Sus scrofa: one gene and its partners. The protein of the gene in region 4 purifies or fractionates together with the protein of the main gene of each other region. This does not show direct contact. Links are inferred from orthologs where the notes say so. Each region holds a gene or a part of one and is shown on either strand. Other genes may lie near its edges.

Region 1 (3,500 bases), on a different chromosome or scaffold from region 4:
CTCCGATTCAACCCCTAGCCTGGTAACCTCCATATGCTGCAGGTGAGGCCCTAGAAAAGACAAAAAAAAAAAAATTTTTTTAATAGAAAAAAATTAAAAATTTAAAAAATATAATCATTATTTTGATTTCAAGTTTAGACCACAAATGGATAAAAGGACTCTTACCATGTATAGTAGGAAACAGGCTTGTGCAAAGATTGTGGTATAGATTTTTATCTTGACTCATTTCAAACACCTTCTCCCACTCCTTCACAGTCATTTGGTTCTTAATGCTCTCAGCCGTCTGCTCCTCATCTCGGAGCTCTTTTCCTCCAAACTGAATGGTGGAGAAGAAAGGGAAAAAACAGTAGTACAGAAATAGTCAAAATAATGTGAAAGAGAAGAAATGTCAGCACAAATAAAATAAAGCCTGGGAGGTAAACTTCAAAATCTGTTGATTGTAAAGTTTTTTTTTAAAAAAATTCCTAACCAGTTTTCATAGTGGCTCAGCTGAAAGGAATCGGACTAGCATCCATGAGGACATAGGCTTGATCTCTGGCCTCGCTCAGTGGGTTAAGGATCCAGTGCTGCCGTGAGCTGTGGTGTAGGTTGCAGACATGGCTCGGATCTGGCATTGCTATGTCTGTGGTATAGGCCAGCAGCTATAATTCCAATTCAACCTCTAGCCTGGGAACCTCTATATGCCATGAGTATGGCCCTATTTTAAAAAACTATTTCCGGGAGTTCCCATCGTGGCGCAGTGGTTAATGAATCCGACTAGGAACCATGACGTTGCGGGTTCGGTCCCTGCCCTTGCTCAGTGGGTTAACGATCCAGCGTTGCCGGGAGCTGTGGTGTAGGTCACAGACGCGGCTCGGATCCCGCGTTGCTGTGGCTCTGGCGTAGGCCAGTGGCTATGGCTCCGATTCGACCCCTAGCCTGGGAACCTTCATATGCTGCAGGGGCGGCCCAAGAAATATCAAAAAGACAAAAAAAATAAAAAATAAAAAAATAAAAAACTATTTCTTAACCACTATGGGCTAAGTTTATCAAGACACTGAAGAACTTATCATCTGTCCAGTGAATTAAAAGTAACAAAAAAGCTACCATTTTTTCGTATTGCTATAAATGAATCTAGATACTCAAGAGATGAGCCATAATAAAATGTTAATCACTGATATGAGGATGAAAGAAGTAACAGAGTATTATGTTTCCCTCTCATTTTCCAGTACTAAACTACTGTCCAAACATTTTTTCACTGCTTTCCCATCCTGGACACAAAATCAAGTTCTGAACTATAATACAAGGGATACGTCACTCTCAGAAAGAGTGCTATACTGTACCTTCAGATTACTAAAGTTTTTCTATTTATACTTTCTCAAGGAGCATGACAGAGGGACTGCGACAATTAAAAATGAAAAAAAAAAAAAACAAAAACGCTATGGATTATTTGTACCAATGCTTTTAAAGTACTCGGTGCTTATGCATGAAAACAAGTAAGATTTTTCTTTAAGGTGGGACAGACAGACACAAAAACATCTGCTTTCAAGAACAAATCTCAACCCACCCCCCTGCCTTTAAAACCGAGTTTCAGAAGATTATAACTTTGTGGCAGCATCAGCAGATGTCTTTCCCAAGCTTTGCTATTCTAAGAATCACCCTTAGGGAGTTCCCGTCATGGCTCAGTGGTTAACGAACCTGACTAGCATCCATGAGGACATGGGTTCCATCCCTGGCCTCACTCAGTAGGTTAAGGATCTGGCATTGCCGTGAGCTGTGGTGTAGGTCACAGATGTGGCTAAGATCCCACGTTGCTCTGGCTGTGGAGTAGTAGACCCTTAGCCTGGGAACCTCCACAGGCCACAGGCATGGCCCTTAAAAGACGAAAGACAAAAAAAAAAAAACTCACCCTTGGGTTGGTCGGTGCAACACAGCACGCAAGAAAGACCAGCCTATATGAAAGGTCCCTAACACCAAGGGCCCGGAGTCCTCGAATGCCTTCTGTCTCATATCCATCAACACCATTCACACGGGAATTAGTTTCTGCACGTGCTCCTGAAAGATCGAAGGATAGGTTGTTTCACAGTTCAAATATTCAAGGTGCTGTGAATCAAAATTGCTCAGTTAAATGAAACTTATTTAGACTTTGAAATTTTTCAGAACAGTACCTTCTATAGCAAAACCAATTTGTCTTTATTCTCGTCATAGTTCCTTGCTCATCCTCTGATTGGTAGCCAAAAACAAGACAAGGAAGATACAAGAAACCAGATACTCTGTAGGTTAGGTAACCAAGAATTTGTTAAATCTGAGCCACAGATTACTGACCTGGTGTGCTAAGCTTAGACACGTCAGGCACAACAATCAGCGTTCCTGTGAAGTCACACTTGTCACCAGCTTGAGCTGACTCCACAGCTTCAGCCCTCAAGATCACTTCTAGGCTGCGGGGGATACTCCCTCGGGGAAGCTCAGCTTGAGTCTCCTGAATACGAACCTGTAACAAAGACAAATGGCCAAGAATGAGAAGTCATCTTTTTCAAATGCCATGCAATCTAAATTAAATGCCACAATTATTGACATATCCTAAATTATCTTACCAGTTTGCAGACTTTTTTTTTTTTTTTTTAGGGCCGCACCCACGGCATATGTAGGTTTCCAGGCTAGGGGTCTAATCAGAGCTACAGCTGCCAGCGTACACCACAGCCACAGCCACAGCAACATCAGACCAAGCCACGTCTGTGACCTATACCACAGTTCATGGCAATGCCCAATCCTTAATCCACTGAGCAAGGCCAGGGATTGAACCCACAACCTCATGGTTCCTAGTTGGACTTGTTAACCACTGAGCCACAATGGCAACTCCTACATACTTCTGACATGTGCCAACATTCATCTTAAAAATTCTCTACCAGGAGTTCCTATCATGGCACAGTGGTTAATGAATCTGACTAGGAACCATGAGGTTGCGGGTTTGATCCCTGGCCTTGCTCAGTGGGTCAAGGATCTGGCGTTGCCATGAGTGGTGGTGTAGGTCACAGACACGGCTTGGATCCTGCGTTGCTGTGGCTCTGGTGTAGGCCAGTGGCTACAGCTCCAATTAGACCCCTGGCCTGGGAACCTCCATATGCCATGGGAGCAGCCCTAGGGGGGGAAAAAAAAAAAAAAATCTCTACCATAAAAGTCCTTTCAGTTTGCTAAGAGATTACAACTATTAAAAACTTCAACTTCACTTTTACTCTCATTAAGAAATACTTCTTTCTCTTTGTTCAAACTGACTTTAAATATCTGTTCTGTATTCCATCTTCCTCTAAACTGTCAGGGAAATTTTATGAAAAACTTCACATCTATTATACTCTCCACCTCAAAACAACTGTTAACATTTCCTAAAACGCACACATACTTTTACTGTAGTATTTGAAAGAAGCTGCAAAACTCAAGATACTTCGTCCCCAAATATTTTAGCATCCATTTCCTAGGAATACTATCAATCCCACCAAGAGAATTAAATCGTTTTTGATTATCTA
Region 2 (4,126 bases), on a different chromosome or scaffold from region 4:
GGGCGATGGGGTCCTAAAGTGCCTGAGCCTTCCATCCCAGATCCCAGCAGCATGCGAAGGTGGTGCCATGGATGCGGAAGACAGAGTATATCTCCACGGAGTTCAATCGTTACGGCATTTCCAATGAGAAGCCTGAGGTCAAGTAAGCTGGTGGGTAGGGAGGGAAGGTGGAGATATCAGGTGCGTCTAGTGGTCCCTAAAGGCCTTTCTGTTCCTTCCTAGGATTGGGGTTTCTGTGAAGCAGCAGTTCACTGAGGAAGAAATATACAAAGACAGGGATAGCCAGATCACAGCTATTGAGAAGACTTTTGAGGATGCCCAGAAATCTGTAATTGAGGGACTGGGATGGGGGGAGGCAGTCAGCGGGGTGGCTTCAGAGTGCTGTGTACTCCTCATCCTGCTTTTGCCCCTATCAGATCTCCCAGCATTACAGCAAGCCTCGAGTGACACCAGTGGAGGTCATGCCTGTCTTTCCAGATTTTAAGGTCAGATCCAGGGCAGGAGGCAGAGAGGGATCGCCTGTGATCTCTGGCTGTCCCATTCTAATCCCAGTGCCCTCCATCCCCCAGATGTGGATCAACCCATGTGCTCAGGTGATCTTTGATTCAGACCCAGCCCCAAAGGACACGAGTGGTGCAGCTGCATTGGAGATGATGTCTCAGGCCATGATCAGGTAAGTGGTCCTGCTGCTCACCTTGGCCTGCTCCTTATTGGCCCCCTCCCCACCCACCCACCCCCATTCTTTTTTGGGGGGGGGCGACACGAAGAAGTTCCCTGGCCAGGGACTGAACCCACACCATAGTAGTGATCCAACCCACTGCAGTGACAATGCCAGATCCTTAGCTGCTGATACACCACAAGAGGATGCCCATCTTTGTCTTTGTTTTTAGCTGCTCCTCTTTTCCTCCCAACCAGGGGCATGATGGATGAGGAAGGGAACCAGTTTGTGGCTTACTTCCTGCCTGTGGAAGAAACCCTGAAGAAACGAAAACGGGACCAGGAGGAGGAGATGGATTATGCGCCAGATGATGTGTATGTGGGTTGGAGTTAGGTTTGGGGTGTTAAGGAGTAGGTCTCTTTTTCTCCTTCACAGGGAAGAAATGGCTGACCCTGTCCCCTTCATCCTTAGGTATGACTACAAGATTGCTCGCGAGTACAACTGGAATGTGAAGAACAAGGCCAGCAAGGGCTACGAGGAAAACTACTTCTTCATCTTCCGAGAGGGGGATGGGGTTTACTACAATGAATTGGAGACCAGGTACTTAGCACTGTCCTACCTCACTGAGATTATCTGGGCTTGTACTTCAGATTCAGGACCCTGGGGTATGCAAGTGCCACCTCGGAGGTCATTTGTACCTAAGGATTTGCCATGTGCATTTGTAAGAGCAGGAGCCTGATCACCCTTGCGGGCTAGACCTGGTTCTAACATAAGAACCCAGGAAGACATTTTTTTTTTTTAAAGGGCTGCACCTGAGGCATATGGAGGTTCCCAGGCTAGGGGTCTAATCAGAGCTGTAGCTGCCGGCCTGTGCCACAGCCACAGCAATGCCAGATCCAAGCTGAATCTGTGACCTATATACCACAGCTCATGGCAATGCTGGATCTTTAATCCACTGAGGCCAGGGATTGAACCCGCAACCTCATGGTTCCTAGTCAGATTTGTTTCCACTGCACCATGACAGGAACTCCAGGAAGAAAATCTTTACCTAACTAATACTGGAGATGTTTAGTGTTCACGTAGGGTAGACTGCCAAGTATCCCCTGATGTTAGTAAGAGACTTCACGTGGAAGTAAACATAGCCGAAGTATAGAGTAATGCATAAAATGAGCATGGCTATTTTAAATGAAACACTAGATATCCAAGTTCAACATGTGACCACCTAAAAGTTTTCCCTGATGGCGAAAACGGCTGTGGTGGGATCCTTGGTGTGTAAAGACTGGCAAGGAAAGTATGACCTTGAGTTTCTATTTAAAGCAGAGATCACAAATTTTGATCCCATTAAGCCAAGCAAGAAAGGTAGAAAGCACAGTAGGCTATCGGGGTCCAGATGACTTGGAGCTCCTGGCAGCCTCCAAGGGGCACCATGACACAGCCCACTGCTGCTATGCTGTGGGGAGGGGGTGCAGCAAGGGCCGAGTGGGGTCTTATTTTCCAAAAGCCAGAAATCCAAATTCTAAATGTTAATACCTAATTCACACTAAAATCTATTTATTCATACACTTACGTGTATATGTACAGGGCATACATACACACACATACACAGCGCAGGGCAACTACACTGCTATCTCGGGAGCTGTCATCCCTGTCCCCAAGTTTAGCCTCCCTTATGCAGTCTGTATTTATTCTGGGCCAAGCGTAAATGAGTAAGGATGGGTAAGGAAGAACCAAGTCAGTCCAGCTTCCCCACAGGGGTGAGTTCTTTAACCGAATCTCTTCCACATCCCTCTCCCCCAACTCCACCGTTGCAGGGTCCGCCTGAGTAAGCGCCGGGCCAAGGCTGGGGTTCAGTCTGGTACCAATGCCCTGCTTGTGGTCAAACATCGGGACATGAATGAGAAGGAGTTAGAAGCCCAGGTAACAAGCACCACGATCCAGGGCACCCACGGGGAGGGTGAAGGTTGGTGAGGAGAGAGAGGAGGTGTACAGAACACTCTCCTTCCCCTCACCCCTGCTGCTTCCAGGAGGCACGGAAGGCCCAGCTGGAGAACCACGAACCAGAGGAGGAAGAGGAGGAGGAAATGGAGACAGAAGAGAAAGAAGCTGGGGGCTCAGGTAAAGCTGGACCAGCCAAACTCTGGGAGCCCGGGGAGGGTCGAGAACTGGGTCTCACTTCTTCATGCTCCTTTCACAGATGAGGAACGAGAGAAGGGCAGCAGCAGTGAGAAGGAAGGCAGCGAGGATGAGCGCTCGGGCAGTGAGAGTGAACGAGAGGAGGGTGACAGAGATGAGGCCAGTGACAAGAGCGGCAGCGGCGAGGATGAAAGCAGTGAGGATGAGGCCCGGGCTGCCAGGGACAAAGAAGAGATCTTCGGCAGTGATGCTGATTCAGAGGATGACGCTGACTCTGACGATGAGGACAGAGGACGGGCCCGAGGCAGTGACAATGATTCGGACAGTGGCAGTGATGGGGGTGGCCAGCGGAGCCGGAGCCACAGCCGGAGCCGGAGTGCCAGTCCCTTCCCCAGTGGCAGCGAGCATTCTGCTCAGGAGGATGGCAGTGAAGCTGCAGCTTCGGATTCCAGTGAAGCTGACAGTGACAGTGACTGAGTCCCAGGGCCTTCAGGGCTGGAGCAGGTACAATTACTACGCGCAGGAAGGCACTTTTCAAGTGGTCTATTTGCAAGCTTTCTGCTTTGTTTCTCTCTCCTCCTCCAAACCTTTGCTGTTTAATAAAGCCACCTTCCTTTACTTCCCCTCCCAGGCACTACAGTCTCCTTCTGCCCCCTCCTCCCACCCCCACCCCCACAGGTGCTTAAGGCACAGAAGCAAAGGCCACAGAGGTAGGGCCACTAGGTTTTCCATGAAATGTAGCATAACAAAGGTCAGAATCCTTTTTGTTTGTTTGTTTTTTCTTTTTTTCCAAAATAAGCCCAGACCATTAAACAAGTGAAACTCCAACAAATAAGTTTTCTCCAACAGCGAGAAAAACTGTACAGTTACTCAAAGCTGATTCTGCCAGTGGGGCTAGGGATAAAAGGGAGGGTGAAATCATGGCAGAGGGGCCAGGGGCTGGGGAGGGATGGGAGTGGGTCAGGATCCTGCCCATCAGAGTGGGGCGCCTGCGTCCTGCACACTCTGTCAGGTGGTGGGGAGGGCAGCAGCTCTTGCCTCCCGCTGTGTTTGGGGGTGCCCCTCACCACCTCCCAGTGCCTGGCAGACCCAGCTCACTCTGATGGGTAGTGAACAGGACAGGACTGCTGGGAGGAGGTGAGGGTCTCTTAAGAGGGACACCCTGCTGATTCCAAACGAGGTGGCCCCTGTCCATCCCACTTCCCTGGGCTGGGAGGAGGACTGGGGAAGCCCTGGGAGTTGGAGGGGAATGAGCAAAGGCACAGAAACATGGAGGGGCCGGGGTGGGGGACTTGCATAGGTTGATGAGTGTGCAAGAGGTACATAAATAAACCT
Region 3 (3,500 bases), on a different chromosome or scaffold from region 4:
AACAATTTTACCTGATAGTCCACAAGGAGCTCTGGTCCCTTGAAGTACCGCGAGGCTACTCGGACATTGTACTCCTGAGCTGGATGATAGAATTCTGCCAAACCCCAGTCTATCAGTCGCAGCTATAAGTATGGCAAATAAAACGTGGGAAAGGAATGTTTTTTAGATGCCTGTGTCTTACAACAAGGCCACATCATTTTAGATAAGTATTTGGCCACATAAAGTACACTGTTGATACTTTCAGCAACTACATTTAAGATTATTTCTAAAGCAGAGCACCTGGAATCTTACTTGCTTTTTCTTTTAAAAATTTAAATTATCCTGGCTTATCATTCTTTTTACCCCTCCCCCTTTTTACAGCCATACCTGGGGAACATTCGAGTTCCCAGGCTAGGGGTGGAATCAGAGCTGCAGCAATGTGAGATCCAAGCCACATCTGTCACCTATACTGTGGCAACGCTGGATTCTTAACCCACTAAGCCAGCCAGGGATCAAACCCGCACCCTCACAGAGACAAGGGTTTGAGTTCTTAAGCTGCTGAGCCACAAAAGGGACTCCTTATCATTCTCTTTAGATCAATAAAGCTTAAGTTTTTATTCTGCCTCCATCCAGTTGCATGTGATAACACATCCACCTCATTATTGACAGCTTTCATTATAAAGCTCTAGTCATAACAGAAAGAAATGGAGCATGTGCCCTGTTCTAGGACTGAAGCACTGCTCTAGCTTTTCATTAATCTAACACTAGCTAATTCATTTATTCACCAGTGAGGTACAATCAGGACTGAATACTGAAAAGAGGTGGCATCCAAGTGTACTTTTTAATCATAAGGCCAGGCCGACTGGTCTGAGGATCGTTAAGAAAGGAAGTAGAAATCAGCAACCGTAATTTCTTTCTTGAGGCCCCCCGGAAAACCATCATCAAGGTAAACAAGTAACTACACTTAGGGTCAGCTGTCTACTTTCCTTGTGTACTATGCTTACGCCAAGTACACTGGAGACTGAAGAAATACAACATCACAAGTCTTCCAAAGAAAAAAACAACATGGGTCTTTATAAACCAGCTAGGTACTGGCCAAAGTCTTTCAATGAAAGGCTTGCACTGCCTGGCTGTAATGGTACCTTTTTCTGTTGGTGATCTATCATGACATTGTGAGGTTTCACATCCCTGTGCATGATTCCCTTGCTGTGGCAGTAATCCAGAGCCTATTAGATAAGAAAGCACAGAGAAAAGTAAGCAAACCCTCTATCACCTTCCTCCCAATGCAAGCATATTCTTAGTACTTGTTCGCACCAGTTTGATTTGAATAGTCTCCCAAGGAGCAGCTTACTGTCTGTAACAACAACAAAAAACATGCTTCAGAAGGCACCCCTTGCTCTCTGAGCACACTATGCTAGCAGAATGGGGGCTGTGGAGGGGAGTCACCAAGGACTATGATGATTTCCCTTTTTCAGCCACCCTGCAGCATATGGAGTTCCTGGACCAGAGATCAGATTTGAGCCACAGTTTAGACCGACACTGCAGCTACACCAGATCCCTTCACCCACTGTACCAGGTCGGGGATTGAACTTGCATCCTGGTGCTGCAGAATGCCACAGCAGGAAATCCATGAAGATTTCTTAAAAGGGGGAAATTACATATTTCTTTGGGCATTTGTCTCTACCTATGGCTGGAAGCAACTATTAGTCGCATGAATTTAAAACGTACATGAATCTGTTGGTCTAATTTGGTGTGCCTAAAACCAGATCTAGGAACCTCAGTGGAGTCATTCCTCATGCCAGTTTCAAATGACATGTAAGAACCCATGTAGACATGAAGAATGACATCTAAATATACTGGCAGTGTGGCCTGTCTTTTACAAAATCCCACGTGGGTTTTGTAGACTAAGATGTATTCTAATATTAGAATTTTCCTTAAAAACAATCCCTGATCCAGTTAAAGAATTATGACTCTGAAGGAGAAAACTGCTTCCTGTAAGACCACTGACACGCAGCTAAGATTTTTTTTTTCTTTTTTTGGCCACACCCATGGCACATGGAAGTTTCTGGGCCAGGGATCGAATCCCAGCAACAGCTGTGACCTATGCCACTGATCCACCACCTGTTGCTACAGATTTGCCTTTTCTGGACATTCATAAAATGAAATAATATATACAGTTCTTTTTTTTTTTTTGTCTTTTTTGCTATTTCTTGGGCCGCTCCAGCGGCATATGGAGGTTCCCAGGCTAGGGGTCGAATTGGAGCTGTAGCCACTGGCCTACGCCAGAGCCACAGCAACACAGGATCCGAGCCGAGTCTGCAACCTACACCACAGCTCACAGCAACGCCGGATCGTTAACCCACTGAGCAGGGGCAGGGACTGAACCGGCAACCTCATGGTTCCTAGTCGGATTCGTTAACCACTGCGCCATGACGGGAACTCCCTATACAGTTCTTTATCTTCTTTCACTAAGCATAACGTTTCTAAGATTCATCCATGTTGCTTTTTTTCCTTGTAGTAGTATTCCAGTGACCGAATACACTGCTGATGTAAAAAAGTCTTTGAGGAGTTCCCGTCGTGGCGCAGTGGTTAACAAATCGACTAGGAACCATGAGGTTGCGGGTTCGGTCTGGGCCCTTGCACAGTGGGTTAACGATCCGGGGTTGCCATGAGCTGTGGTGTAGGTTGCAGACGAGGCTCGGATCCCGCGTTGCTGTGGCTCTGGCGTAGGCTGGTGGCTACAGCTCCAATTCGACCCCTATCCTGGGAACCTCCGTATGCCGCAGGAGCGGCCCAAGAAATAGCAAAAAGACAAAAAAAAAAAAAAAAGGAGTTAAAAAAAAAAAGTCTTTTAGAGGACATATGTTTTTATTTCTCTTGGGTAGACTCCTAAAGGTGGAAGTGCTGGGCTATAATTACAATAAACTTTTCAAGAGTTTGCCTAATTATTTCCCAAAGTGGCTGAACCATTTTACATTCCCATTAGCAATGTATGGGGGCTCCAGTTTCTCTACATCCTCACTAACACTTGTTACTGTTTATCTTTCTGATTAGAGCCTTTCTAGTGGGTTTGAAGAGGTATTTCATTATGGTTTTGCTATTTCTATAATGAATGATCAGGTTACACATCTTTTCTTTGGACAATTGTTAATTCAAATCTTTCACCCATTTCTTACTTGGGTTAAGTTTGTTTTTAAGGAATATAAAAATTTGCTTCTAAATCTGCGTTTTCCAATACAGAAAATAAATTTTCATAAATTTCAACGTTGGGCCCTTTGGCTTGTCTTAAAAAGCCCTTGAAGCCTATGAGTCCCACATTTTATGTCTTATCCATAAAGTACTCCTTGAGTAATGATGACAGCAATCCACAATCTTAAGAGTACCTACTGATGCGCCTGGCATTGAGAGCTCTTATAAGATGGAATTGTCCAAGAGACAAGATTAGGTCTTTTCCATGTCGGCACCATTGACACTTTGGACCAGAGGATTCTTTGTTACGGGTAGCAGTCCTGTGCATTATT
Region 4 (4,168 bases):
TCACATCCGCCTTCGACAGCACATTCTGGGCAAAGGCCTATAAGAGCACACCCTGGCAATCGAGCAGCAGAGATCCTGCTCCTGGGCCACCCAGGGCCTGCTCAGCACCATCTGCTCCCAAGAGACCAGGGGAGGCCTCACCTCAACGGGGTCCACGCCATCCTCCTGGGTGGGGGGCACGTAGAAGCGCACCTCCATGAGAGAGACCTCTGCATCGTCATTCTGGTGGAATTCCAGTGTCACCTCATTCTTGCCTGTGGTACACTGGGACACGTTGCTGAGAGGGATCTCGAAGACCGGCTGGTCACCAATGTCAAAGGAAAGCAGCTGCCCTGTAGGAAAGGGCACACTGAGCCACAAGCTCCTTCCCTCGGCTCCGCATAAACAATGTTCCTTCCTACCAGCCTAGAGGCTCCCAAAGGACAGGGCACTGAGACCATTTTGTTCGCACTGTGCCCCAGGGACCGGGCACAGTGCCTCATACAGTGTTGGTCCTCGATAAATACGTGATGAATTACAAACTGGTAGGAAATCAGAAACAGCGGAGGAGAGCAAAACAAGTTAAAGGCTGAAACCCTTCAGCCTACCTCCTCCCCGCAAACCTCAATCTTCCCCAGGACTCACCCCCAAACTTCACTGTTCCCCAGTTCCAACCCTTCACACAGAGGTCCTTTTCCATCAGCTCAAGGCGATAGTGAGTTTTGAAGAAATCAGAGAGTTTCTCGAACTCCTGTGGGAAGAGGGGAAAGAACAAGCCCAGTGAAACCCCAGTAGCCTTAACACAGAACTTGAGGGTCCTGAGATTATCTGCTTCTGAGAAACGACCCCAATAAACTTTCATCAGAAATCCACGCTGACTTAGAGCTATAATATTGTTAAAACACTGTTGAAAAAGGCTATTTCTGGGGACTGGCTGGACTCGGGCTGGGGGAGGAGTAAAGTAAGGACTGACACTCCTGCTTGCAGGTCTCACAGTGTTTTTCTGACTTTGGACAGGTATTCCTTTAGTGAAAGTGGAAATGAAGTAAAGTCTTTAACACAAGCCGTTCAAAATGGAAAAACAACACCAACCTAAAACCTCAAGGTAAGCCCCTGAACCTGGATAAGGCAACAGGCAGAAACCACCAAAAAAAAAAAAAAAAAAAAAAAAAAAAAAAAAAAATCAAAACAGTAGAAAAGTTTCTGGAGTTAAAGCACAAAGAAACTCCCGAGACTCTGCAGCCCAAAGCTGAACACTGACTGCTTAATGGCTTCCACGGTCCTGCTTTAAGGATCCCAAACTAGCAACTGCACGGTTATCAGAAGGAGCCCCACTTCTCTCAAGAAGATTAAAACTAAAGAAGATGGCACAGTAAAGGGGGCTATGGCAAGGGGCATCTCACCGATTCTCGGAAGCCGTCGTACTTGTAGACGTGGCCATTTTTCGTGAGCAGTTTAAGTCCATGGCCCAGAGCTACTCGGCGCCAGATCCCTTCGGTCAACTCCCCAGCCTGGATGTTGTCCACTTTGCCCGTTTTACTGTTCTTGAAGATGATGCCCTGGCGGCTCAACCTCAGCCGACCATCATTCTGTTGGGAAAACAGGCCCAAATGCACAGGGACGACCATAGCGTAGAGCAGGGACGGTCCCACCCAACACCCATTCTGGGCTGGTCAGGTATCAGGCAGGAGCAATAACAGCTGAAGTGGTGAGGGCTGGCAAGAAGAGACGAGTAAGGCCAGAAGATCTGGATTCTAATCCTCGCTCTGGCATCCAGAACCCGTGCAGGTCCTCAGTTTGGGGATTCAGGATTGAGCAGCAGGTGTAGTCCCTTCAAACTCTGACATCCTGTAACTCTTGTATCCTCACTCAGTAATGCTTCTTGTTGGGGAACTACCAAATACACATCGAACTGACTTCTTTTCCAAAGTAGCAACATCATCAGCACAAGCTCTTGCGAGTGGATAAAAAGTCTACTCCGCCTCCCTCCCTCCATCTGTTTCAAAAGCCCCAGTCCTTCTTACCATAGAGCCTTTCACCTCCTGATACACGTCGTTGAACTCCAGTGTTTCTGCCATGCTGACCTGCCCCTGTAGGCCTCAACTGGGAGCTGGGCCCCAACTCCTGGGTACGTTGTGCAGATACACAACGCAGGCTGGGAATCTGAATTGAAGAGGGATAAGTGGATTGAAGTTAAGTGGAAAAAACAACACCTCATGCTGGCCACGGAGGGAGCCTAGTGGCAACCCTTCCTGTGCCTGGGATGTCTCACGATCTCCCTGCCTGGGAACCCTGCAAGCCGGTTCTGCAGAACTCCAGGGCCAGGCCCGGCCGGGGCTTAAGAAGCCGGCCCGAAGTACCTCTTACATCCCAACCAGACACCCCCTCTGGGCGCTCCACCGGGCGCCATGGCAACGAGCAGCGGAACCCCTGGGCCATCCGGAGCCCGCACCTCGCCCGCGCCCCAACCCCGCTCAAAAAGCACGAGTTCCCTCCCAGCGCTCCCACCGCGCCGCGGCCCCAGGCCCACAGTTCTCCCCTCCCGCTAAAATGGATTCGCCCGCTGCCCGCGGATTCCAACGCGGAACAGTCCATCCCACGCGTCCCGCGGGGGAGCAGGGCCCTCGCCTTCCTGGGGCGCGGCGATAGCGACCACCTACTTTCTCAAGCTGCGGCCTCAGACGGCCCGCAAGCGGGCGGTGGGCTCGCTGGGGGACGCAGCGGGGGTGTAGGGTCCGGGGGGTCCGGGGGGGACGCTGGGGAAGCTTTTCCCGCGTGCGCGGCCCCGCGTCCCGCCACCGGAAGCCCAGCACGGACCATAGAGAGGAGGAGCCGGCTAGAGAGGCGCGAAACGCGGCCCGCCTTCGAGGCGGTCCCATAGAGCGTCCACAGCGCTGGAGGACCTGAGGGAAGCCGGGTTACACTGATGTCCCGCCCGTTTGGCGTCCGACTAGAAAATGGGAGCGTGTCGGGCTCTTTAAAAATCACAGACACTCCTTCCGGGAACGACAAGACTTTAAAGAGAAACTGTGTAGTTGCATTTTATCAGACTTGCCAAAGATGCGTGTGCGTGCGTAGCAATGACGGGCGACTCTCTCCCGCCCCATAGTGGTTTCTGTGGAATAGAAAGGAGTTTGTAGGACAAGAAGGAAAATATTTAACGACTTGTGGAGAGAAATGACCCCTCCCACTGGCTTCGAAGAGAATGCGAGTGTTGGTATCGCTGTGACTATACTGCTCACCCCTGTCACAAGGGATTGGATCCTTTTTGAAGTGAGTTCACTGCACCCCAAAACTTGACATCGATAAATGCAAGGTTTGAGTCTCCTGGAAGAGGCTGGCCAGCGGCGGCGGCGGCGGCGGTATCAGGTTCAAGTGCTGGTGTCACATTCACCGTGGAGCCAGAACTGATTTGAAATCACAGCAGCCTGGGCTTTCATAAGCCAGATCCCCCTTATGGAGTCCTAGGGTGCACCTCGCAAAATCAGAGGAGGCTGGACGAGTAAGAGATGTTTGGATTCGTCTGCTCCAGCTTCCTTTTGAAGATCGGGAAACTGAGGCCCTAAGAGGAGTGGCCTGGGGAACAAAACCCAAAATCTACTTAGCCCGTCTAGTGATTCTCCATTCGGAATGATTGATAATAGATGTCAAGTATACAAAACATTGAGACAGAATATTTAAACTCCAGATTTCTTTGACAGTCTGACCTACAGTTACCCCAGCTTGGGACACAAGATGACGTGAATGCACTGTTGCTCCCTGAACTCACGACTTTAACCTCTGGGTAATGGCTGTTCCCACGCTATCTAGCAACATAAGCCAACTAGATTCAACAGATATGTGTTGAACTCTAACACAGTGATAGGATTTGTGGAAACTAGTAAACAAGATGGAAACAGCCCCAGTTTTCCAGGCATGTGACATCTAATAAATGATTCAAATAAGTAAACTGATGGTAAAACAAAATAGAACAAGAAAATACCCAATGTGGGAGTTCCCTTCGTGGCTCAATGGTTAATGAACCCAACTAGGCTCCACAAGGATGTGGGTTCGATCTCTGACCTCCTTCAGCGGGTTAAGGATCTGGTGTTGCCGTGAGCTGTGGTGTAGGTCGCAGAAGCAGCTCGGATCCCACGTGGCTGTGGCTGTGGCATAGGCCGGCAGCTGTAGCTCTGATTCGACCCCCTAG

The links. The genes of interacting proteins can lie anywhere in the genome.
Region 1: the proteins of SSRP1 (region 4) and MCM6 purify together in Homo sapiens (affinity purification with mass spectrometry; 4 studies listed by BioGRID and IntAct, with this or other methods). This does not show direct contact. The link is inferred for Sus scrofa from reciprocal best matches to the Homo sapiens genes SSRP1 and MCM6.
Region 2: the proteins of SSRP1 (region 4) and PAF1 fractionate together in Homo sapiens (co-fractionation; 3 studies listed by BioGRID and IntAct, with this or other methods). This does not show direct contact. The link is inferred for Sus scrofa from reciprocal best matches to the Homo sapiens genes SSRP1 and PAF1.
Region 3: the proteins of SSRP1 (region 4) and CSNK2A2 purify together in Homo sapiens (affinity purification with western blotting; 3 studies listed by BioGRID and IntAct, with this or other methods). This does not show direct contact. The link is inferred for Sus scrofa from reciprocal best matches to the Homo sapiens genes SSRP1 and CSNK2A2.

The regions. Positions count from the first base shown.
Region 1 is NC_010457.5:15,933,638-15,937,137, reverse strand, and holds part of MCM6 (DNA replication licensing factor MCM6), read right to left. Parts: intron 2,471-3,500; coding exon 2,305-2,470; intron 2,035-2,304; coding exon 1,889-2,034; intron 317-1,888; coding exon 166-316; intron 1-165. UniProt on the Homo sapiens protein: Acts as a component of the MCM2-7 complex (MCM complex) which is the replicative helicase essential for 'once per cell cycle' DNA replication initiation and elongation in eukaryotic cells.
Region 2 is NC_010448.4:48,045,987-48,050,112, reverse strand, and holds the end of PAF1 (RNA polymerase II-associated factor 1 homolog), read left to right. Parts: intron 1-40; coding exon 41-142; intron 143-222; coding exon 223-328; intron 329-416; coding exon 417-673; intron 674-915; coding exon 916-1,032; intron 1,033-1,129; coding exon 1,130-1,258; intron 1,259-2,469; coding exon 2,470-2,575; intron 2,576-2,682; coding exon 2,683-2,773; intron 2,774-2,852; coding exon 2,853-3,268; 3' UTR 3,269-3,626; downstream 3,627-4,126. UniProt on the Homo sapiens protein: Component of the PAF1 complex (PAF1C) which has multiple functions during transcription by RNA polymerase II and is implicated in regulation of development and maintenance of embryonic stem cell pluripotency.
Region 3 is NC_010448.4:19,985,725-19,989,224, forward strand, and holds part of CSNK2A2 (casein kinase II subunit alpha'), read right to left. Parts: intron 1,206-3,500; coding exon 1,122-1,205; intron 123-1,121; coding exon 12-122; intron 1-11.
Region 4 is NC_010444.4:13,618,353-13,622,520, reverse strand, and holds the start of SSRP1 (FACT complex subunit SSRP1), read right to left. Parts: upstream 2,801-4,168; 5' UTR 2,640-2,800; intron 2,143-2,639; 5' UTR 2,058-2,142; coding exon 2,004-2,057; intron 1,569-2,003; coding exon 1,383-1,568; intron 731-1,382; coding exon 625-730; intron 333-624; coding exon 142-332; intron 38-141; coding exon 1-37. UniProt on the Homo sapiens protein: Component of the FACT complex, a general chromatin factor that acts to reorganize nucleosomes. The FACT complex is involved in multiple processes that require DNA as a template such as mRNA elongation, DNA replication and DNA repair.